3 linked regions of the Struthio camelus genome follow. The protein of the gene in region 2 purifies or fractionates together with the protein of the main gene of each other region. This does not show direct contact. Links are inferred from orthologs where the notes say so. Each region holds a gene or a part of one and is shown on either strand. Other genes may lie near its edges. The genes, in order: HECTD1, SMC2 and NCAPG2.

Region 1 (7,606 bases), on a different chromosome or scaffold from region 2:
TTATAATAAAAGTCACTCTCACTGTTCTCTGAAAAATTGTCATGCCTCATTCTCTAAGAAAGTGAAAGTGACTTTTTAAAATTATTACATTTCCCAGTTGTTTAATTCAACAGATTAAAGTCTTCCTAGTTGTCTTAACCACCATCTTTAATAGCAAAGAACAAATCAAAGATCTTGAAATAACATCTGCCTAGCATACAAAAATTTGGGAATGCTCTTTTCGCTGAACAGAACAAATTATGTTTTAAAGTTTGCAATTGGTTTCTTACCACCAGAAAAATGTCTACATTATAAATTAGGCATACACCAAAGCCATTTCCAAGATCAGTTTTTGAAAAGAGCATTTGGCAACACTTCAGTCAGAGTCACTTCAGAGTAAATATCCTATTTAGGCAAGCAATTTCAAAACACTGCCAAAAAGCAACTTTAGTATACTATCAAGGATTATTTTAGTTACACTCTCTCAGCACGTACCTGTGTTGGCTACTTGGACTATCGCTTGGAAAAGATTTTTAAAATATTTTTCAAGACAGTCTATTTCTTACAGAGGGCTTCAAATAGAGTCCCTTTGAAATGCAGGTTGTGATACCATAGACAGCTGAAACAACCTAAAAGTTCTCCACTGGAAAGCGTACCTTTCTCTGCCTCTCCATGTTGCCAGTTATGCAGCTCCACCTCCCGTGCTTATTAGATGCCTGTGCATAATCTGCTTTACTTCACTGTAACAGCACAAAACTGTCCAGCTTCTTTTGTGGGTTTAGAGAGTAATTCGCTGTTTTAGTGAGTTAAAGGAGTCCAGTAAGCACTAATGCCAGCATGAAGCAAGCACACGGTTGCGAGAAATGAAAAAAGGAGAGTGATGGGAAGAGGGAAGAAGGAGCTCTCCCTTTTTAGGGCAATAAGTTATTATGTCAGCTCACCACATACAGTGGAACCATACCTTCACTGTATTCAAAGTGCCAATTAAAAGTAGCATTTTCTAACCTGATTGTAAAAATCACACACATAAGCCAGGGAAACATAACAACATTTTCCCTATCTACATTTTATTCTCTCTTTCTTTGAGGGATGCTTCCAACAATAAAAAAGATCAGCATCCTAGGAACACCAGTAAAATTAAATACCTAACAAGGCTCACAACAAAAATTAAAATGCCAAATGGTATTTTAAGTGCTTCTCCTCTCAAACATCAAAATTAATTTTAAAACCACAACCTTGTAATAATAGACCCTTCATTATATGTAGTTTTACAAAAAAGCATTTGAACTATTTAATTTATTTTATGATGAAAGTCTGTTCTAAATCAAATGCATAAAAACTACAACTGCTTTATATTAAGAAGCTAACATTTCATTCCTGATTTTCATATACAAAAAGATATCCTCGCAAATGCTTATGACCAAACCTCTACTTTTGTTCAATATGGCACAGACTGAAGAAGGTCCACTTAGATATAACATTAAAAAGTTATTCTTAAACAACTGTCAAATTATTTTCTATAGAGGCAAATTAAGAAGTCAGTAAATTAGTTTTTCCTAGCCTGAATATAGCAATGCATCAGTGTCAGTACTACAAGCGACAGATAGGCAAGTCAAACGCATCTCCCTATTGCAAACCTCTTTCAATCCACAATTTTACCTGTACACTCTTCAGGCCAATGCCAGCCAATTTCAAACTTTAAAGCACTGTACAAAACTGTGGTCACTGTTACGTAACTACTACAACTTCTAATTTTAAAGATGCATGAATTTTAGAGCTCTTGTGCTAATAGCAATCATGAACGGCTTTTAAGAGGTGAACCTTGGAAGCTGTTCTCTTTTTCAGGGCTATGGAAATAAACACTGTAACAACCAGTTACATTCTTAAATGATCTTCAACCCACACCGCTAAGAAACAGGGCCTATCACAAAGACTCTAGCCACACCGTGAGATGCAAAAGAAAAGTCAGAATAACAAAGAAAAGATGGAAAAGTGGAGAGACGCAGAAGAGAATCAAAACATGATCTGGGAAAAAGACATAAAAGAGATACTAGATTAGGGAGTAGATATGGGAAGAGGAGTAGATATGGAAAGAGATTAAAAAAAGAACTAAGGAAGAACATAAACCACTGTATTCACTGCTACTTAAGTTTTAAAAGCTCTGTTTACACTTCTGCACTACTCCTTTCTCTCTTTTCTACACTAATCACCCCTACAAAGATTAGTGTAACAAATGCACATTAATACAGAGCAATAATATTAAGTAACAGAAGTTGTAACATCAGCATTTTGTATAGTGAGATATATAAAAAGGAGTGAGAACACAGGCTGTGCTGTATAACGTGTACAAATGTTAATTACAGCTGGGCAGGAGGGCGGCATGAACAGCAACATTCTTCTAGGAAGGGGCAAAATATTTGTGTGAACACTGGCTAACGGTTGTAGGGTTTTTTGATTTGCAGCTATCAGAAAAAGCAACTATATCTGATGAGAGCAACATTCTGTAAGAGTATGGATACTTAAGTATATGCGATCATTATAATTTTAAAGTTATAAAAAGTTCTTCCGTACCATTAAAAAATAATTTCCACACTGCAAAAGGAATATGGCTGTAGACTCTGAATATAATTCTTTAAATTAAACAATCACACAGGCAATGCCCATTCTGGGACGTGATCATCCACATGAGACAATGTTTTTAATCGGAAAAGATTACTTTAAACAACACTAACAGGAACTCATATCTCATTTCTGTGATATGTACTTAAGTTTGGTCTGTAAGAACATTTTCAAGACTGTGAAAGCTTCTAGGAATGTTAAATTTCATACACAACTGCTGAGAAACAAAAACAACATTCCATAAATGAATGGCAAAATTACTTACGTTTCAAAACAACGATCCACGTTGTCCGACATCAGAAGTAGCATGCATAGCTGTTCCAGTGCTATTAGCTGCATATCCCTTTCATCTCCCTGCCCCATCTGCAGCCATTCAAGCAACGTGTCTGGGTCCACATCTGCCATGGTTTTAAAAAAAAAAAAAAAAAAAAAAAAAAAAAGCCGCCTCTGCTTAAATTAAAAGTACCAAAAATATCCTTCAATTGTTCAAGCCAGACTAACTTGAGTACAATCAACGTCTCTCTTCAGCCAGCCTCAGGCTTTTGCAGTTTTTACCTGGAAAGAAAGAAGAAAAAAAAAATACACGTTATCAAAATTTAGCCTAAACTTTTCAGATTTGTTCCTTTCTGAAATTTATCACATATCTTCAGGCCAAAATTAAGGAAATTTCCATGTGTTCTAGATTAAAAAAAAGGATCCTCCCCCTCCCCTTTTTTGCTTATTTTTTGCTTGTTTTTTTAAACTTTACACATGAGTAAACAGTAATTATTGTTTCCAATGAAATAGAAAAAAGGTCTCTAGTTCCAGCTGACAATCAACCAAGTCTTAAAGTCCACTATGATACAGAGGATAACTCGAAATTAAAATTTTTAGTAGAAAAACTATGCTTAAGTCATTTTCATACTCTCAGAGCTAATACAAAGACAAATAGTGTTATGTCTTGCCTCCTCCTCCTCTCCCTTTTTTTTTTTTTAAAGTATCATCTTATGATAAAGTGTCTCACTTTCCTAAAGATTATGTCATCACTCAAGTATTCAAATATAAAACATCAGGCTTTTTTTAAATAAAAATCCACAAAACAAAAACAATATAAATTGAGAGTTTATAATTTGAGATTCAGAGAATTTTTGCAGGATTTTTATGATTTCTTCACCTTTTCAAATAACATGTAACAAGAATAAGCCTTTTAAGGCAAAGGAGAAAAAAGCTAATTTAAGAAATACTTCAAATTTTTACTGTTTTTTTAAACATATCTAATTGACAGCCTTTAAGAAATACAGTGAATAATTCACATAATTCATGCACATATAAGGAAAATAACATTATTTGTTGGCCCAATGCCATAGCTGTACATGCAAGCTGAAGACCAAAAAAGTCCCTTTAAAACGTTAGGAGATATTTTTGACCTATGTGCTTATTTGTTACTTTGTATTTTACTAACACACAGTCAAATTCACCTCTGGTGCCAAAGAATGGAACAACTACAATTATTAATTTCATATAAAAACTAAAAAAAAAAGGGGGGCTACTAATCAACCTCTCCAAATTAAACATAAAAGAAAAAACTGAATGTATACGACTTATAAAAAAAAATTAGTTTATCAAATTTGAAGGTGAATATGAAAATGCTGGAAAGTGTCCTCACAAAATGGGGGGGGGGGGGGGGGGGCGGGCAGGGAAGGGGAAGCTTGATCTGGACAAAGTCTGCCTGCATGTTTACTTGCTGCTAACGAGTTAATAGTTAAAAAATAACTTCATCAAGGGCACAAAGGAATTTACAAAAGGGAATCACAAGTCTGTATTATGTGGAGAGATACACATTGATTCAGCAATACGAAAGCTTTGTCACCCAAAGACATGACAAAAAGTATGTCAAATGTGATTTTATTTTTCATTTTATCATTGAGGGCGATAAGAACATTACAGCTCACCCAATTATTGCTTGCCCCATATATGTGTTTTACTATTGCTGCAGCATCTCTAAACTGCAAATTCTAAAAGGAATTAAAATATTATTAAGTTCGTTTTTATGCTTCAAACAACGCTTATGATCCTCTCCGCTGTTTAGAGACTACATTTTGTTCTGAGCCTAGAGAAAACTGATGCCATCCAGTACAACTAGGTTCGTACTGCAGGTGTAGTACATGTTTTTAAAGCAAAAAAATAATGATCGCCAACTGGCGCTGGGGGAGGGGGAAGCACGGGGAGGGGGAGCGAAGGAGGGGTGAAGGCCACAGAGGCAAGGAAACTAAGAGAGCCGGGGGAAGCCGGATAAGTTCAATACAGGCAGCTGCTGTTCCTTCGCCCTAGACGGGCTCTAACCAGCCCGAAACGAGCAACCGAAGAGAAAACAGAGCAGGGCAAGCGACGGGGGCTCCCCGGAGACGCGGGCCAGAAACGGGGCCAGGCCGCCGCTCAACTAGGCTCCCACCGCCCCGCGGCCTCTCGGGCCTACAGCGCGCACCAGCCCCAGGCCGCGCGCGGGGATTTTCGGGGCCGCCCAGCCGCGGGGGGAAGCGCAGCCCCCGCGCCGCCGCGGCCCGAGGGGCTGCGCGCCAGCGCTGCCCCCGCCTTCAGCCCGCCGAAGAAAGCCGCCCCGGGCCCCGCCGCCGCCACCGCGCGGGCCGCCCCGCCGGCCCGCTTCGCCGGGGCCTGGCGGCACCGGCCCGCCAGGCCGGGCAGCGCCGCTCGAGTTGCCGGCGAGCCGCAGGCCTCGCAGGGTGACCCGGCCTGGCGGCGCAGGAAAGGCGCCGCCGCTCCGTAGCGAGCGCAAGAGGCCGCCGCCGCCTCCTCCGCCTCCTCCTCCCCGCCGCTCACCTCGGCCTCGCGCAGCCTCCTCGCCGGAGCCGACCCCTCCTCAGTGCCGCGGGGAGACGGCGGGAGAGGCGCGGCGGCGGCAGCCCGAACCCGGGAGCAGGCGGCCGCGAGCGGCGTCCATGGCGCTCCGCCCGCCACGGGGTTGGCGGGAGGAGGGGAACCAGCCGCCGCCGCCGCCGCCTCGGGGCGGAGCTGGCGCCCGCCCGCCGGCCGCCGCCGCCGCCGCTGGGGGCGCTGCGGGAGCGGGGCCGCGGCCCGGCCCGGCCCGGCGCCCCCCGCCCGCGCACGCTCCCGGCCTGCCGCCCGCCTCCCCTCTCCCGTGACGGTGGGCTCGGCCTTCCGCCCCTCTTCGCGGCGCCTCGCTGCCCCCGGGCCCGGGGCGCCGCGGGGGCTCCCTCAGCCCGGCCCGGCCCGGCCCCGAGCTGCCCGGGCAGTTTTCTGGGGTTAAAGAGCTTTTCACGCCCTGGCGTTTTTTGGCTAAGTCCCTCGATACAGCACTCTGTTTTACATAGTGCTCTTTCTGTGACAGTATCGAAGTACTCTTACACGGCTTGTAAAAGTGCGGTTATAAAAGTACTGTGCAGCTAGGCTTGTCCTTTCCGGGCCCCTTTAATCCACACCCAGCACCTCCTCTATTAAAAACGGCAGTGACGAGTGGTTTTAAACACAGCGCTCGTGCTCTTCCAGGGTGGAAGCTGTAAATTGCCATTATCTGGTAGGGACTTTGAGCTATCGCAACCGCATTATTCAGTCTATGGCAGGTTTTGCAGCGGAGCATCACCCCCTGCAACACATGCTGCCAAAACCTGCACTGCTATTCTGCGTACGCCCCAGAGTTAAAGGAGGCAAACTGCTACGCATTTACTATGACGAACCCAAGACAGGGGAAGACCTTCAAAACAGTTTTCTCTGTAGAATCACATGCCTTTTTTAAAGGACTGTAGTTACATAAAGCCTATTAATATAAGTACAGTAAATAAGATTATTGTACATTTGAATGTCACTCCTGCACACATCATAGACATCTCTTGTAATTAGGAAACAAACGACACAGTGAACAAAAAGGCAATAGCAGTCATGCTCGGGTAAGACTTAAAAAATGCAGAAATCTTTATGGTTTGGTGTTGTAATAGTACCTTTAGAAAGCTTTAACTTTATTGAATCGTTTCTCTGAATCCAAAAACAATAGCTGGCTTCTCTGGTTCTGGTTTCTAAGGCGGCTTAGACTTTGTGTCTTATTGTATTATGTCTCTCTTAATGGCTGCTTGTTCCAATCCTGACGAGACTTATATGTGTATCCTTTATGTATGCATGTTTGTCCTTCTGAGGTCGACAGGACTTCTTATATGCTTAAAGTTAAGGACGTGAGGCATTAGGAAAACTGAGACTGCAGTCTTTAAATTTAGAAGCTTGATCTTCTTTCACTTTCACTGGTACAGAAGAAGCAGAAAAATTAGGCCAAACTTGTGAGAGCTGCATGCGCTAAGTGACCTTACTCCTGTCTCATAATCCTAGAATGGTTTCCTATGCCTTTTATGGTGAAGAAGGGTTTCAATTAAAGCAACATGTTACGAATTTCTCCTGAAGCCCAAAACAAATAATAATTTTCAATTGCAAACAGTGAACACTTATAGTGAAGTATAACTTATAGTGAAGCATAAATACTTCCATGTCCTCCTCCATTAATTACCCAATGTGAAATATCCTGTAATATCTTTTATATTAAAGGAGGTGTATCAAGAAATTTTTTACTGCCTTAGTCATGAGCCTGAACTGCGTTCTTTGTGATACGTTTGCAGTACTTAAGAATTCATCTGTTTGTGATCCGTGTTCCTGATTATGAGATTCCTTCTCCCGAAACTGAATCTGAGGAAAGGAATAACATGCTAACTATATAATTTCTGCTGTACAGATTATATATATACTTCTTATTTACAACATATATCTTCATAGTCTGATTGACACTTACTTCACGTGCTGAACGGACATGCAGTTTATTTTCAGCAGTTGTCAGAGAGTATTCCCTTGAAATGTATAACGGGAAGTGACATGCCCAAGTTACTGTTTCAAACTCTCCCTGCATACAGCACCGGAATAGACTTCACCGATATACCTCACCTTCAAAACTTGACTGTTCTCTAATGTTTAATATGAGGAAAAATAGCTTTCAAATAAGACTACAGTTAGCTGA
Region 2 (7,757 bases):
AAATCTAAAAACGGCTTGATATTATGACAACATAAGCTGCAATGAATTACAAGAACCAAAACCTGAGCAAATCCTAGCTATGTGTATACATATACACAAGCATACCGCACAGAAGAGACTAGATCCTGCTAGTGTGAAAAGGTGTTTAAAATACCTTACGTAAAAGTGAGAGAGTCATCAAGGCTAATATTTTTACTCTTAATTGAAAAAAAAATTTCCAGATTTCACAAGGTGTCGCAGCCTTTTACCTGGGTGATGTTTTCATCAGAAAAATAAAGGTTTCTATGATCTTAGAAAACAAATTTAACTTTGATGAAAGCAGAAGAGAAAAAAAACACAGAAGAGAAAATTATAACTTGCTTCAGGAACTTTATTCCATTATTATGTTTCTATGTAAGTAGAAAAAAATTATTAACGCATTTAAAAATTGGAATTACTAAGGCAATTAATATTATCTACTACACTGGATCTACTTTGATACTTTCTGTTACTAACTTCATTGCAGAAGCACTGCTTTAACTGCAAAAACTCAGGGGCTTGAAAAAATTAACTTTTTCTTGAAAGTCACTCTGTTGAGAACATCAGAAGTGTATACAGGTTTCTGAACAAATACAGACTCACCTGCCTAGTGACAATAATCTCATCGTTAGCTTCAAATCCCAATGGACTTTGTTTCTTGTCAGAATTATCAAAGGTGATAGAAACGGTTGCTTTAGTAATTCCAGCTTGCCCATTTTTATAAACTAGGTCCTGCAAGTTGGCAGCTCGCACCTAAACACATGAAACAGATCTATGCATTTTTTTTTTTTTAAATAAAAATCGTTATACAGCTTCAGTGTGTACAGTACTAGTGGTGTAGGTTCTGGAGAAACGAATGAAAAACGTTGGAATTGTAATGTTGAAGATTCAGTTAATGGGGAGATTGAGATGTGGGAGTTGCAAGACGTTAGTACTGTAAAACCACAGGCGTGTGCCAGTCTAGTTTTAGTCAGCTAGCTATTTGTTTCTGCATGAGACTCCTAATAAAAACCTGAATGTCTATAAAAAAATTCATATGTCTAGTTAGTCACCAGTATCTTTACTTAAAGAACATTTATTATTCACTATACAGTTCACGGGGAAGTCAAACAGAAAACTTTCCTTGCAGTTCTCCTAGAATTCCGGGGGGGGGGGGAACCACCTGAAAACAGTGGTTCAAATTTACCTCACAATACAGCCTTATATAGAGAGTAAAGCAGATATATCAGCTTTTAAATAGCAGATAGTCCAAGAAAATCTCATTTTTATTTTTTTCTGATGAACTAGTGGTCAAATTTTAAGACCTGCTTGAGAAGTATGAATGTTTATTCCAAATAAACAAGCTTAGGCCTTTAGCTATTAAAGAAATCCAGCTTTAAGCTGCTTCCTTTTAACTGGGTATTTTTATTCTAAAGTTCCAAGTTGCATACTTTATGCTGTTGTATTATATTGACAAAATTGTAGTTTAAACTTAATGCAAGAGTGAGAAATAATGATAAAATTCAGCTTTGTGTCCTGAAAAATCGGAATAAATAAAATCATTTTTTGGACAGAAGTACCACATTAGGTCCTCCAATAGAGATTAATCAAGAAAATAATAAGAATAAAGTCACTGGCAGAAGAAAGATCAACCCACCCCCACCTCTTTACCTGAGATAGGTTGGCGATGCCCAACAGGAAACAGATAGAGTCCAAGATGTTGGACTTGCCACTGCCATTCAGCCCAGTAATGGCATTGAATAATGGATCAAAACTGTTGATTTCTGTCCTCTGAGCATAGGACTTAAATCCTTCAATGATAATTGATTTGATGTGCATGTCTCTATGTCCCTAGAGAACAAGGCCAAGTGTTCCTCCAAGGGGTATGAAGAAAGATTTCTGAACTATAATCCTGTGTACTACAAAATAAGGAAAAGAAGAAAATAAATCATGCTACATTCCTGAAAAAAAAAAAAACTAAATTTCTAATACTAAATGAGCAATGAGTATGCCTGGAAATGACATGCAATTTTATGCCCTTTAAGTACCTTTTTTTTTTTTTTTTTGGCTGTGAAAGGTGGACCTCCGATTCAGGATGCATCCCAACAATAAACTGTACTTTAAAGGGCCTAAGCAACATGATTCTATTCAGTTTGCATCATGATATTTGTATGAAGGCCGTGGCATAAGAGTTTTCTCGCAAAGTTGGAGGTTATTTCATCAGCCAAAGAGAAGGGGGAGGCTGGAAGCTTTCAGAAGGCAATAAAAAGACAGCACCCCTTTTAAAAGGGGCAGCGCCGAGGGGGCAGCCCGCGGAGCTCTTACCAGCGCCCAGCTCCACCGCTGCCCCGCCGCCCTCCGCACCTCGCCTGGAGAACTGAAACCCAGGAATAAGTAGATAAAAATCACGAGGACCTCAGAGACGAGACTGCCTCATCTCTGAAGCGCCGCGAAGACAGCCCCCGCCCGCCCGCCCCGGCCGGACACGCAGCGGTGCCTGCTCCCATCTCGCCCGCGGCGCCGGGGCTCCCCACAGCCCCGCCGGGGCGGCTGCCGAGCGGGTCCTCGCTGGCGGCTCCAACGGCCAGGGGAAACGGGTGCCCGGCGCACCTGCCGCGGGGAGGTGGGGGAAAGCAGCCCCACCGCTGGCCCCAGCCTCTCGTGGCTCACCGTCCGCAGCGCTCCCAACGGCCCGCAGCGCTCCCAACGGCCCGCAGCGCTTGAATTTTGGCGCCGAGAGGATGGGCCCGTTCGCGGCTGCCCTGCGCATTGCCTGTCTCAAAGTCGCCCTGCTCCTCCAGCCTCCCCCTCCAGAGGGTAAAGCGGAAAGACTAGGTCCCGTCCTTGCCGAAAAGAAGGAAGGAGCACTCCAGAGACGAGGGTCTCGGCGTCGGGGGGGATAGCGTACACCTTCAGGTCAGAACAGGCAATCGCGACGGGCGGGCGGGCGCGCTCCGGGTAAAGCCCGCTCCGGGCGCGGGCGCGGGCGCGGGCGCAGGCGCGAGACGGGGTCCTCGCGGGGCGGGGCGGGGCCGGCGGCCGTTACGTACCTGAGGCGGGCGGCGGCGGCGGCGGCGGGGGTGCGGCCTCCGCCTCCGCCTCGGCCTCCGCCTCCGCCTCGGCCTCCGCCTCTGGCCGTTGCAGGGGCGGGGTTGGTCTCGTCTCGACTCGTTTAGTCTGCTGACTAGGGAGTCGAGACAAACCTATTTGTTCAAAGGTCTTTGTTTGGGGATATTTAGGTATGTTTTTTTTCCCCTTCCCTTCACCCCCGCTAAATTTTCCTATTTGGCTTTGAGAAGGAATGTCTATGCAGGCAGGGTAGGCCAGCAGCTTTTGTGGCGTGATCCTAGCTCTGGTGGCACAAATAGTAATACTGACCCCTGAAAAACGTGCCACGGTGCGCATAGACTGATACCTGCATAAGCAGTAGCTACTATGCGGACTTTAAAAGGAAAAATAGAGGTGTTGTTAGAATGTTCTTCTTCCTCACAACAAGGAGATTTTGAGACTTCAGGTAGGTTCCCAAGTGAAATGGACACAACAATTAGCATAACGTGAGGAGACGGTGAGTTGGGGAATTAATTTCAAAAAGCTATTCCCACTTCAGGTAGAATTTGACAAGAACGTGGAGGGCTCGTAGTTGGCTTACCAGCAGCTGTGAAAAAGCAAAACCAAGCAAATGCTCTTATGTTAAAGTTGAATATATGTTTCTGATACTTAAATCTTCAGAATTACAACGTAGGGTTTTTTGTGTAAGTAAAGGAAGCTATCAGTAGCAAATATTTACAATACAGGGCTAATGCAGGAGCAGTTAGTTGTGGAGCCTGAATAACTGCAAAACTGTTAAAATGAAGAAAATTCAGTTCTGTTCCTCTAAAAAAAAGGAAAATGTCTGTTTAACTCATTTGTTGCAATTTGCAGAGAGGGTGTTTGCATTTAAGAAAGAAGCCTACTCAAAACAAATTTCAAAATGGTTCATTTTAGGAACAGTAGCTCTTAAAATTGCAATACAGTTACATTGATCAAAACAGATACTTAGACCAACTAAATGCATTTACCTTTCCTGAGATGGCGGTAGTTAGGCCGAATGCTTAGATAGGTTATTTTGCAGAGGATGTTCCGTATTGTACTGTCAGCTGGGCTTTAGTGTTACCACTGAGATCCAGGGAGCTGTTGTGATGATTGCACTAAATTGTCTAATCTATAGTCAGAGGTTATGTTTTAATCAATGGAAATAATGCAGGCTACAGGTGTACATTACAGGGAAATATTTTTTTCTTTGTATACTCACTCCACTTCTGGAATTATTTCTGATGCAGCTTGGTTATTGCATATTGTGTAAGGCGTAATTGTGACAGCATTGATTCTGATAGTACTGTAACTAGGAGGCACTTAAGGATGTCCTAACAGCTTCTTATTTGCTAACATCTGGACATCATATTGAAAAAAATATTTTAAAGTATGGGGAAAAATCAAAATGGGACTCTGTAATTTTGCAGTCATCATTAAAAGCCACTTCTATTTGGTGATCTGAAAGTTAGTCATACTCAAGGCAAAAGTTGCCAGTTTACAGTCTGCAGGAAACGTGCTTGCACTGTTGTGATGCCTGAGGCCTGACTAGTTACTGTGGGAAGTAGGTCCTTGGGCTAGCCTGCAGGTGGTACCTGGTTGTGCTTCAAAAGACAGAAATGATTGCTGAGTGATGGCTATCTCCAGGGTTGGTTGAGGAGCCAGTGCTGCAGTGGTTCTGTCTACTGTTTTGTCCTACCAGCCTAGCTATAGCCTGAAATAAGCAAACGGAAATAAAGAAGTGTCATTTCTGAAATGAGAGACTTTTCTCTGTAAAGATAACCAGTATTTATGTTATGTATGGGCGGGGAAAGTTCACCCGTTATCAAGTGGCTATGTGCTAGCTTTATGGCCTATTAGTCTCTAAAAGCTGGATACTGTATTTTAGAGTAAAGGTAAAATGCACTATTTTAATAATAGTGTTGAATTTTAAGAAGAAAACCATACTGTTGCTATTTAACACTTGTACCTAACAAACTTGAATATAGCATGTGCATTGAGGAAGGAAAAGTTATCATTTGCTTATCTAGGAGACTTTTTAGTTTTTGTCGTAACACTATAAAGCAGATTATGCCAAATCTATAACATCATTTTTAACTCTGAAGTCACAACTGATATTCCACAAAGGTAAAAACTTCATTAATCTTACAATGGGGGAGTGCAAACGGGAACAAAGGTCAAACGCCAGACCAAACATTAAGCAGGAAATTTAGAAACTGTGGCCTTCCTGTCAGATAACTGCAACTAAAGGTTATGCCTAATCTAAGCAAGCTGAATGCTCATTAGATGTTTTTTTCCCCTCCGTGGTGGTATGGCAGTGAGATGGCAATACTGTTAATTCTGAAGACAAGTTAACATTACTTTTTGTGTTCCTTTAAAGACAGAAACCATTTCTACCACTACTAGTATGTTGATGCAATTTCTCTGGTGTAGTACTGATGCTTTTGAGTGGAGAAAATTAGTTCCAGTGCAAATGATGGGTTTCAGCAATCTAATAGGTCTAACTGAGTGAAAAAATCTACTCTACATATATATGTGATTAAGACATGCTTTTAGATACCAACTTGGCAAGGTGTATGAGCGGGAGTTTCATGATGCAAAAGGGTGGGGAAATATCGGATGGCGCTGTGTCTAGTAAATGAGCATAAAAATCTGAGTGAGATCTTAGAGAAATGAAAAGTGATAATCATGTACTAAATCTCTAAGTAAATTAAATTTAACTCATTCTTTCATAAATTTCACTCACACTTTTATACCCACATACTCAAAAGCAGCAAGTTGTGTATGCCCAAGTGGGAAAGCAATCTGGAAGCCAAAGATAGCTGCAGAGCAGGCAAAGGCAGCATCCTTGGCAACAGTGCACAGTTCCACATTTTAAGGTTGCATTGCTCATATTGTTTGTGAAGGTAGAGTTTCACGAGTACCAGTGAATTCCTTGCTGTTCCTACATCAATAAACTACCTTCATCATTGCTTGATTTCAGCTACATGAACCAAGCTGGTTTTCTGTGGGCTGTTGGTTGCTCTGGCATTTCATTAGTGGACACAGCAGGAAGGCTGGCTTTCTGAAACAGTCGTGTGGGCTTCCACTTCCTTTCTGCTCTTCCCTCCCTCCACCCCCTGCCCCGAAGCCTTGAAAGGAAAAGGAGAAGATGCATCAGGTGGCTTCTCCTGAAGGTGGCCTGGTTTTCCCGCTGGCTCAGCTGACTGTCTTTTAGTTGTGGTTGAGGCGGTGGTCTCTGTGTTTTGAAGGGAGTGCCTTGTCTTCCGACATCTTTGCCTTTCCTTCCTTTTTGCTACTCTTCCCAGTAGTCATCTGCTCAGATTCTGTGAATTGTCAGAGTAGCAAGAAGGCAGTAGTTCCTACCTGTTTGGATTTGGCCTCTGCTGTTTTCACTTGGCAACTGGGTAGCTACAAGCCCTGGGAAATGCCTGGAAACGTAATGTAGTGGGGTGGAGGAAGGTTGTGCGACTTTGGGTATTTGGCCGGAGGCTCTGCTTGGGGTGTTCCCTTGATGACACTGCATGGGATTTTCTTTCAATGGAAATTGGCGCTGTAAGCTTCAGGGCTGAAAGAGAGAGAGAGAGCTTAGGTGAGCCAGAGGTTTGTAGTCTGTCAGCATGGCGAGAGAGCTGCTGAGCACACGTAGATATGGAGGAGTGACTGCTTCTGCCTTTTGCTTTGTTTCTTCATAGATGGTTGAGGGTGGAGGAGGGCAGGAGGAAGGAAAGATTCCTTGGGAGACAGTGTGGAGAAGTTGGTGGCAATTAGAGTTGGTCCTTCCATGCTGTATTTCTGGTCTCGGGAGAGGAAGAGGTAGGCACCTCCATGCAGCAACCAAACTCATGCCAAGGGAAGTCAGAAATGACCAGCTGACCTTTGGCCAAACTTTCCAAGTTGGAGAGGAGGACAGTGGAACTATGGCCATTACTATAGCAGTGGAACTATAGCATTACTAGCTGCTGTTCTCGTGACCTCTCGTTTTGGATTTGACCTGTGTTCCTCCCCTGCTTGCAAGATTTACAGGAAGGGATGGGGTGAGTTGCTGTCTTCCCTTGGGCTCTCCCCATAGATACTCTGTGGTGTTCAGGCCTGCCCATGTGTCACCCACGTGGAAAGGAACCACAGCACTTCCAACTCTTCTCAGCTTGCCTTCCTCCTCCACCATGGTAGGCCAAGCTCCAGTGTCTAGCAGTCTGGCCTAAGTGAAGATGGAGAGTTGGGGGCACGAAGACAGTGGTTACAGCATATACTTTGCATCACCAAGGAGCACTTGGAAGTGCAGCCAGGGCTTTCCCTCACCCGTTGACTTGCTTCCTGGAATACATTATCCTGACTTAGCAAGACTGGACTAGGCCATGGCCAGGAGAGGATTAAGCAGGTGCCCCCACACTGTCCCTGTGGGGATTGTGAGGAGGCATGGTGAGGTGAATGCTGAGTGAGCACTAGGACTGAGCATCCCCACTGAGCTGGGAGTGACTTGAAAATGTGATAATCTGTTACTCTGATAGTCATTCACACTAGGTGCCCTGAACAGTTTTAGGCGTAATTTCTCTGAACCTGAACAGGCAAAGGTTAAGAGTGTTGAATTGTTGCAGAGGAAGGGTTAGCTCTGTGGTTACATCAAGAGTTTCATTCATCAGAGAAACACAACCTTCTAAGTCAGTGGGTGGCCGGTTCAGCAAGCTTAG
Region 3 (7,646 bases), on a different chromosome or scaffold from region 2:
AATACTGGCAAGGGGTAACCTAGAAACAAAAAGGATACAGGCTAATAATCTGTGGCAAAATAGACAAATCAATCATTTTATTTCTAAAAACACTAAAGGGCTCTCTTTTGGCAGTGATTCAGTTTCACAAGCAATAAAGATAGCTGTATACAGTTGCAAGACAACTCTTGTGAACTGGCGATGAAAAATAGTGATACACACACCATATTGTTCTTCAAGGTATAGGGATGGAAAAGCAATTTTTAATCTGAACAGACCAAGAGGTATGTCAAGATAGGTTAGTGAACGGAGAAGGCAGAAACAACATGACCATCAGCAAGGAAGCTTAGGAAGTATCCTAAGTTATCCTAAACAGGATAATTTATTTTCAAAGTGATTTGGGGAGAAGTGGGAAAATAATGGCAAGGAGGAGATTTCAAACAACGGCAATCTGCTAATAAAGTTGTCATCTAGAGTTACACACAGGAGCGCAACTGAAAAGCTCACAAAATACTTAGACAAAGAGACTCTAAATGAGGTTTAGGAGACAAACAATTCTAAGCTTATTACGCGGTGCATGATATCTTCTCTAGACATGATAGGTTTCATATCTATACTACATTAGTAAATTAACATGATAGGTTTCATATCTATACTACATTAGTAAATTAATTGGTGGCCTGATGGACAGAGTACAGCTGTACCACTTACTTTATCCCGACAAAGGGAACATAAGGAAAATACTGGTTAGATCAGGAAAAGACAAAAACAAATACTAGTTGAGACTGAATAAAAGACTTTATTAATAAAGATCTATGTGTTATTTTATTAGTATCTAAAAGAGGATGATAAAAGGTAGGTAGATAGGGATGTTGGCAAAACAATGAGAAGTGAAGCAGCATTAGAAAAAGTTAGCGTAAAAAAGCAGAGATATCTGACAAAGCCTTTTAAGTTGTAGAATTAAAACTAAGTCTTAAAAATAAACATGTATATCTTTAGCTTTCAATATATACAGACAGTAAAGTAGAAAAAGCTTCAAGATCCTCTCTTCACAATATTGTACTTTATATAATAGAACAGAGAGGCTGCTAGAGAGAAAACTTAAGAAACAAACATGACAATATCATCTATTAAGGTTAGCAAGAGATGTTCAGGAGAACTAGCATGTCTTAATACCAGATTAAAACTTAGTGGAAAATACCACAATGCAAATTGTTATTTTTGATATTGCATGCACAAAAGGAGAATGAACTTTTAATTAGTAGATTTCACTGGATTCGTTTTGTTCCTCCCCCTACTTCTCTCCATACTACATTTAGAGGCAGCAATCTATGACTCTTTATCACATCTCTAGAACATTTAGTGATAGAAAGAACTATTAAATACAATTGTATATTAACAAAAAAAGAAGTAGAGAGCCTAAACTATCAAACCGATGAACAAATGCTAATGAAACATACCTTTGCTATGCCTGTATATTAGCTCGCATTGATTATACAGCAACAAATTTACTCTTTTACAGGTCAACATTTAAAAAAAAAAAACTTTATCAGTATCAGATGAATATTTTCTAGTATTATTGTTGCAGTAATCATTATTTTAAAACTGCAAGCTATATACAACAACCAAGTATTAAAAAACAGGCTGTTTTACAACACAGGAAAAATTTCAAATTCCTCAACTTTTTCAACTATGCTCCATTAAGTGCCATTTTTTGCAACAGTGATACTATATCTGCCTACCTGCCATTATTCTAGCACATACAAAAGTATCGGAGAAAAATTTTGTTGCCCCTCTGAAACAAAAAGTTTGTGCACTCTTAATAGACTTAGTCATGAACGTGTATCGTGGTTTACTTACAGGAATCTGAGTAAAACGCAAGAATTCTTCAATTGAGTCCTTAGACACAACTTGTAAAAATGCTTCACGCTTCATTATGGTCCTTCTTTTCCTTGCGTTATAAACCTAAAAGAAAAAAACACTAGAGAAGAGTATTGCATCTCACAATAAGATCTTTCTTGGACCCAATGAAAATGTATTTAAAAAGTATTAAAAACTCACATTTTTCATCCAAGTCATTATAAGACACTCTTCCTCCCCTTAAACTGATTTATAGGGTTTAGATTCATAACTGCACAAGACCCTAGTATTTGTAAGTAGTGTTTTTAATACCTTTATTTATTAAATAGGAGAGTCTTAAAAGTAAATTTTTTAACTGATGCTTTCACTTTTAACAAGAATAACTTTTCTAGCACACATCCCCTATTTAGCTATCCATCAGTCCAGGCAGCAGCATTTACTTATTGGAAAGGTTCCCTCCTTCTCTGCCTTGTCAAGAAAAGGCCATGGGAAACCGGCAAGATCACTTGTTAACACTAAGAGCTTAACTCACATGCAACTTTCCATCCGAAGTGATTCCTGAGAAGCTTTTCCTACCCCTATCAGCTGTAAGACGACCTTACACAGCCTCTGCTGCTTTCTCTCAAACGTGCCCGTCTGTGAAGCCATGATCTGGATGATGAGGAACTGATCCAAATTAACTAGTAATTTACGTTTTGCCAGGCGCACTGCATGGCCCCACAGACCGCTGTACGACCCCGAACAGGAGAGGAAGTAAGTGGCAAGTTGCCAGGGCGGCTTACCTGGCACTATCACAGAAAAAAAATCCTCATGGATCCATAGGTAAAGCTTCCAAAAACCTCTGGCTGTTCACACAGGAGAAAAACAAAAAAGGCGACCTCACTATTTAAATGCAGTGAAGCAAAGGAGCGCAAGCCCGAGTATCCCAGCAGCACTGCCCAAGAAAATGGTGTCCGTGCAACCGCCGCGCCACTAACGCGCCTCTCCCCAGAGCCGGACGAGGCACCAGCCCCGGGGGGTGCTCAGAGACGGAATGGCACCTCGCTCAGCCCTCCTGCCCCGGCCTCGGCGCCCTGCCCGCCCGCCCGCCCAGGGCTCGCACTCACACAGACACGCCGCCGCCGCCGCGCGCTCTCCCGGCGGTTTCGAACTCTCCCGCGGCAACCGTTGGGCGCAGGCGGGCGCGCGCCGCTCCCGTCTCGCGAGAGCTCACCCACCGCCCCTCCCTCGCAACCCCACTGCGAGCGGGCGGGGGCGCTGGCGCGCGCCGGCCGTGGGCGGGGCGGGGCGGGGCGGGGCCCCGGCGCCGCGGCGGGAAGGGCGTGGCTGCGGCCCCGCCCCTCTCCGCGCGCCGGCGCAGCCGTTAGTTAGTTGCCCTCCCCCTCCTTCACTGAAGAGGCGACGGATCGGTTACTGCGAAGAAGCTGGCGAGGTGTAGATCTACGTACGAGCCTACGGTTGTCTTCCTGCAGCCATCTCATAACTCACAACCCCTTCAAAATGGGATAAGACACGTTTAATTAAATTCATTTATATGCTGAAGAAACAGCATGCCTTCTTCCATGGATCTGGGGTGGCAGTGACACAGTATTCTTACCAAAACATGTGCTATTTACTCAGAAAGCACTCAGCATCCAGTTGATTACATTGGCTTTTTCTCAGAAAATGTTCTTAACGGCTAGTGTTGACAGCTACGCTTTCAATCTCGGTCACAGTGAACACTACTACAGGCCTTATGTACTTGTCATCCAAAGCAGCAAAAAGCTAAGCAGGTTACCCAGCAGAAGGTATGGGGAAGTATGCGGGCCGGAAGATATTAACAGTTTGACAATGCTTTACTTTTTAAAATCTATCTGGAAATAGGTGCTTTTTGTTTCTTTTCAAATTTACTTTGCAGTGGGCAGAAGTGTTTGGACTCAGCTCCTTGAATTAAGCATGAACAGCTTTCAATTCTCTTGTGTTCGCTGTCCTGTCGGAGCTCCTCTACAAACTGGAAATAGTCACTTTGTCTCGTTAAGGGCTTAATTTATATCTTTCAGTTTTACATTCCCAGTAGCATTATATTTTTCAATATTTCCCAGCATTCTTAGCTGTTCTGAAGAATTAGATGCTTGACTGGAATTGTTTACTTTGAGTGTATGACTGTAGTACTGCATATGCTGCTTTGCTTTCCAAACAAAAAATAGAATCAACGCTTTCTAGAAGAGTTCTCACATCTGACTGAACTTTTCCAGAGTGTAATTTTAAAAAGCAAAATCAGATTCAGATTTCATTTAATTAAGAATATTATATGTACAAAATCACTATTTTTTGAAGAAATAGTTATGTTTTTTGGTAATGTTTTTTCTTTTTTATGTACAATCCACTTTAATCTTGCTATGTCTCAAAACTGCAACAGTAACGTTTTCTCCCATATATGTTTGACTGAAAGACTTCCTGTTTTAATTTTTGACGTTTTCTGAGTAAGCTCTTTAACTGTTTTTTTTACATAGTTTCAAAACTACAAGATGAAAAATAAAATCTATTTGGTGCTTATCCTGTATAATTAATGCTCTTCTATATTGCTTCAAAAATGTTTGTAACAGATGACTAATGTTACTGAAAACAAAGATAAAAGCTGTTTAAATTCCTAAATCATTAGCAGAATGTATGTGAAACTTCTGCAGTCATTGGGTTTTAGAAGAAAGCTTCTTTGCCAGATAAAGCAATTATTTGCCAGATAAAAATTACTGTAAGCATCAATTGGAGAATGGGTTGTACTATTTGCAATTTTTAATTAAGTTGGTCATCTACTCAAGGAAGGGACAATATGGCAGAAGGAATTAGCAGCCAGGAGACTACTCTTGAGCATCATAACGTCTCTTCCCCATGCTGACAATTCAGTGCTACCCCTTCTCTTCTCCCACATCTAAATAAACATATCTCTCTCCACAGCATCTACCAGCATCTCTGCCAGCATCTACCTACTGGCAACCACAGAGAAGGGTCCCAGGAGAGAGATTCTGGGACGATCACCTGAAATAGGATCTGTCCTACAGCCCTAGGCAGAGACAGCCAGCAGGCATCGCCTTCCAGAAGCAGCCCCCCACCCCCACAAAAGGAGCCTTTTGCTGCTCCAGCGGAAAGAAGGAAGAAGGATCAGGGTTATTTCAGATCTGATGGACCTGCTTTTTTTTTGTTTAAGTTATGTAGTCAGCTAAGGGCAAGAAGGCCATGAAACAGTTTGCTTGAAATGCATTGTAGGAGCAATCATCATGCTTGTACGGTAGTAAAAGTAAATAAAAAGTATGAAAACGGACATTTGTTGTGCTAATGTCTATCCTTTTTGCATATATTACAAATCTTTGGCATTTTAGAACTGAACTGATGGATTTGATTATCTTATCTCGTGTGGACTGAATTTTTCATTAATACCTTGATTAGTCCTTTAATTAGATGCTACATTAGTCACCTGGTTACTGTTTATTTAGTCGGGCACACATCCATTTAGCAAACAAACTAAAACATATTTTAGCTTATGACTTGTGTTGCATAGCAACCACGGAATGATTCTTTCATGTTATGGAAACTAAAAGTTGACACAAATAACAGCAGGCTGAGTAACACTGAAAGATTCATTTTAAAGAACCATGTAGAGAAACCAGAGATGCAGAATAGAGTTTGGTAGGGTCTTTCGGGGTTGGGGAGGAGGGCTGGAAGAATTGTGTATGAACCGTAAGCCAGTAATGAAGCTACAACCCTATTTTCAGTTTCCCTAATCTTCTGCCTTTCAAGAGCTACTAAATTACATGCCTCTTTTTGACATGTCTGTTCATCTGTTCAAAATAATCTATATCCTTTGATAATAATCTCGTATTTATTATGATTTTCCTGTCAAGTCAAGTTAAAGTGAAAATGAAAAATGGGCCCTCCGCACGTGGTTGCTGAGCAACAGCAAATAAAGATTTGCTTTTGTACTACTGCTTCATCATAAACTACTCTTTTTTCTTGTCAGTGGCCTGTATAACAGATCTCAATTACAAATGGATTTCACAAGAATCTCGTAGTTCGGACTATATCAAATATTCTATTTTAACCTGTATGATTCAACATTATAAATCCTTGTAAAAATAAACAAGTTACTCCCTGAGTGTCAAGGTGCTTTCTTGACATTTATGTTATTTTTATTTCCTATTTACAGTGTTATTTTCTAGATAATAGTTTCTGAGGAGATCATTGTATGTGTTATATGCTAACCTTTTAGAATTGCTACTCCCATTTCCTTTCTTTTGAATATATAATATAATTTGTTATAGTTAATACGGTAGCCACAAAATCTGCTCATCCTCTGAGGCAGGCTGTTAATAATTTACATGCATTCATTTCCCTTGATTTTTTTTCATCTTCATATACTTTGATAAATAATCTGAACAGCATGGGAGAGAGATGAAGTTTGCCGCTATTCTACTTCTCCAGATCTCCCCTTGCCTGAAGGTAATACTGTCAATCATGCCATCCTTTATTCAAAGGCAACTGACAGTTTTCGATGGTGGCGTGATTAGACCTTGAAACTGCTTACTTCCTTTAAATTATTAATATTAACAGGAAACGATTTTAGAGTTTAAGAGATTAAGTGGGGGGAAAAAAAAAAACATTTACTACAGAAGGAAAAAAAAAGTCCTTGTTAACTCCGACAAAAATATAAGGAAATAAAACGCTCACAGGCAATGCAAAAGCTTTTCTGACTAGCTGCTCCCTTGAGTAACTCTAGATGCTGCTGAAGTACTGAACTGCCACCCTGTGGGAATTAGCTGGTACTGCTGGGTGTCTTACGGGCTTTTCCCGCCAGGTTGAATTTCAGTCCAACTTTGTTCATGCTCTTACTTTTACACTTCTTTCCTTGTAGGTGGTGTTACAAATCACAGTAATTTTACTCTGCTAACGATTAGTGCCATGCAAATGAAAAGGAGACTTCTGAAATGCTGTAAAATGCCAACAAAAATAAATTATCCTTACATAACACTTTCACGGCTAAATTCATTCTACTGTAAATATAATACAGGCAAACCTGTGTATAAAAAAAAAAAATTGAATATTTCAAACAAGGAGTATCACTTTTTTCATTATAACTACAATGAACATTTTCTAGTATAAAATCACGAGCATCTTTCAGAATATCATGTATCACTGAGTTAATTTATAATACTAGTTTGTCTATTTTTTCACATTCAAAAGGCTACATTCACATCTGCTCTGTCTAAATTAATTTAATCCTATTGATTTTAACAGTATGAATCATTAGAGATAAACAGCTCATGGAAGCGTTTTGTCTCCTTTCAACCCTTGTTCTATTTTAGGCTTTATGGATAAAGAGAAGAATCATTTGTAAAGTATATAAATACTGCTATTAATTTTAAAAGCACTCTTAAAGGCTTCATTGTGGTAGACATCCATCAAATAGGAGATGATCACTGTTCCATCTATCTAGTATAAAACATGAATACATTGTACAAATGTCAGAATGGATGTGATTTGCTTCTCTCTATATAAATTTACACGTGCACACACACACATAAATACACACACATATATATGAAAATAGTTTCTCTTATATAAATATATATGAATATATGTGTGTGCATACATCTGTGTGTATATACATGTATATATAGTTATAAAACTATTTTACATTGGTTGGTTAAGGCACCAACATTTATTTCTCCCTTATGTTAATGTAGATCTTGTCAAGGCTGGGAGACTGGCCTTCCCCACGTTCCTAATCCAGATCAGGAACTTAGCAGAAGCGTACCATGCTCTTCCTAGAGGCT

What was found.
Region 1: the proteins of SMC2 (region 2) and HECTD1 purify together in Homo sapiens (affinity purification with mass spectrometry; 3 studies listed by BioGRID, with this or other methods). This does not show direct contact. The link is inferred for Struthio camelus from reciprocal best matches to the Homo sapiens genes SMC2 and HECTD1.
Region 3: the proteins of SMC2 (region 2) and NCAPG2 purify together in Homo sapiens (affinity purification with western blotting; 4 studies listed by BioGRID and IntAct, with this or other methods). This does not show direct contact. The link is inferred for Struthio camelus from reciprocal best matches to the Homo sapiens genes SMC2 and NCAPG2.

The regions. Positions count from the first base shown.
Region 1 is NC_090946.1:53,376,731-53,384,336, forward strand, and holds the start of HECTD1 (E3 ubiquitin-protein ligase HECTD1), read right to left. Parts: upstream 3,103-7,606; 5' UTR 3,004-3,102; coding exon 2,864-3,003; intron 1-2,863. UniProt on the Homo sapiens protein: E3 ubiquitin-protein ligase which accepts ubiquitin from an E2 ubiquitin-conjugating enzyme in the form of a thioester and then directly transfers the ubiquitin to targeted substrates.
Region 2 is NC_090982.1:17,319,335-17,327,091, forward strand, and holds the start of SMC2 (structural maintenance of chromosomes protein 2), read right to left. Parts: upstream 3,059-7,757; 5' UTR 2,668-3,058; exon of another isoform or gene 2,608-2,667; intron 2,375-2,607; exon of another isoform or gene 2,323-2,374; intron 1,917-2,322; 5' UTR 1,837-1,916; coding exon 1,669-1,836; intron 772-1,668; coding exon 622-771; intron 1-621. UniProt on the Homo sapiens protein: Central component of the condensin complex, a complex required for conversion of interphase chromatin into mitotic-like condense chromosomes.
Region 3 is NC_090943.1:11,770,009-11,777,654, forward strand, and holds the start of NCAPG2 (condensin-2 complex subunit G2), read right to left. Parts: upstream 3,042-7,646; 5' UTR 2,946-3,041; intron 2,685-2,945; 5' UTR 2,622-2,684; intron 1,961-2,621; exon of another isoform or gene 1,945-1,960; 5' UTR 1,915-1,944; coding exon 1,840-1,914; intron 1-1,839. UniProt on the Homo sapiens protein: Regulatory subunit of the condensin-2 complex, a complex which establishes mitotic chromosome architecture and is involved in physical rigidity of the chromatid axis.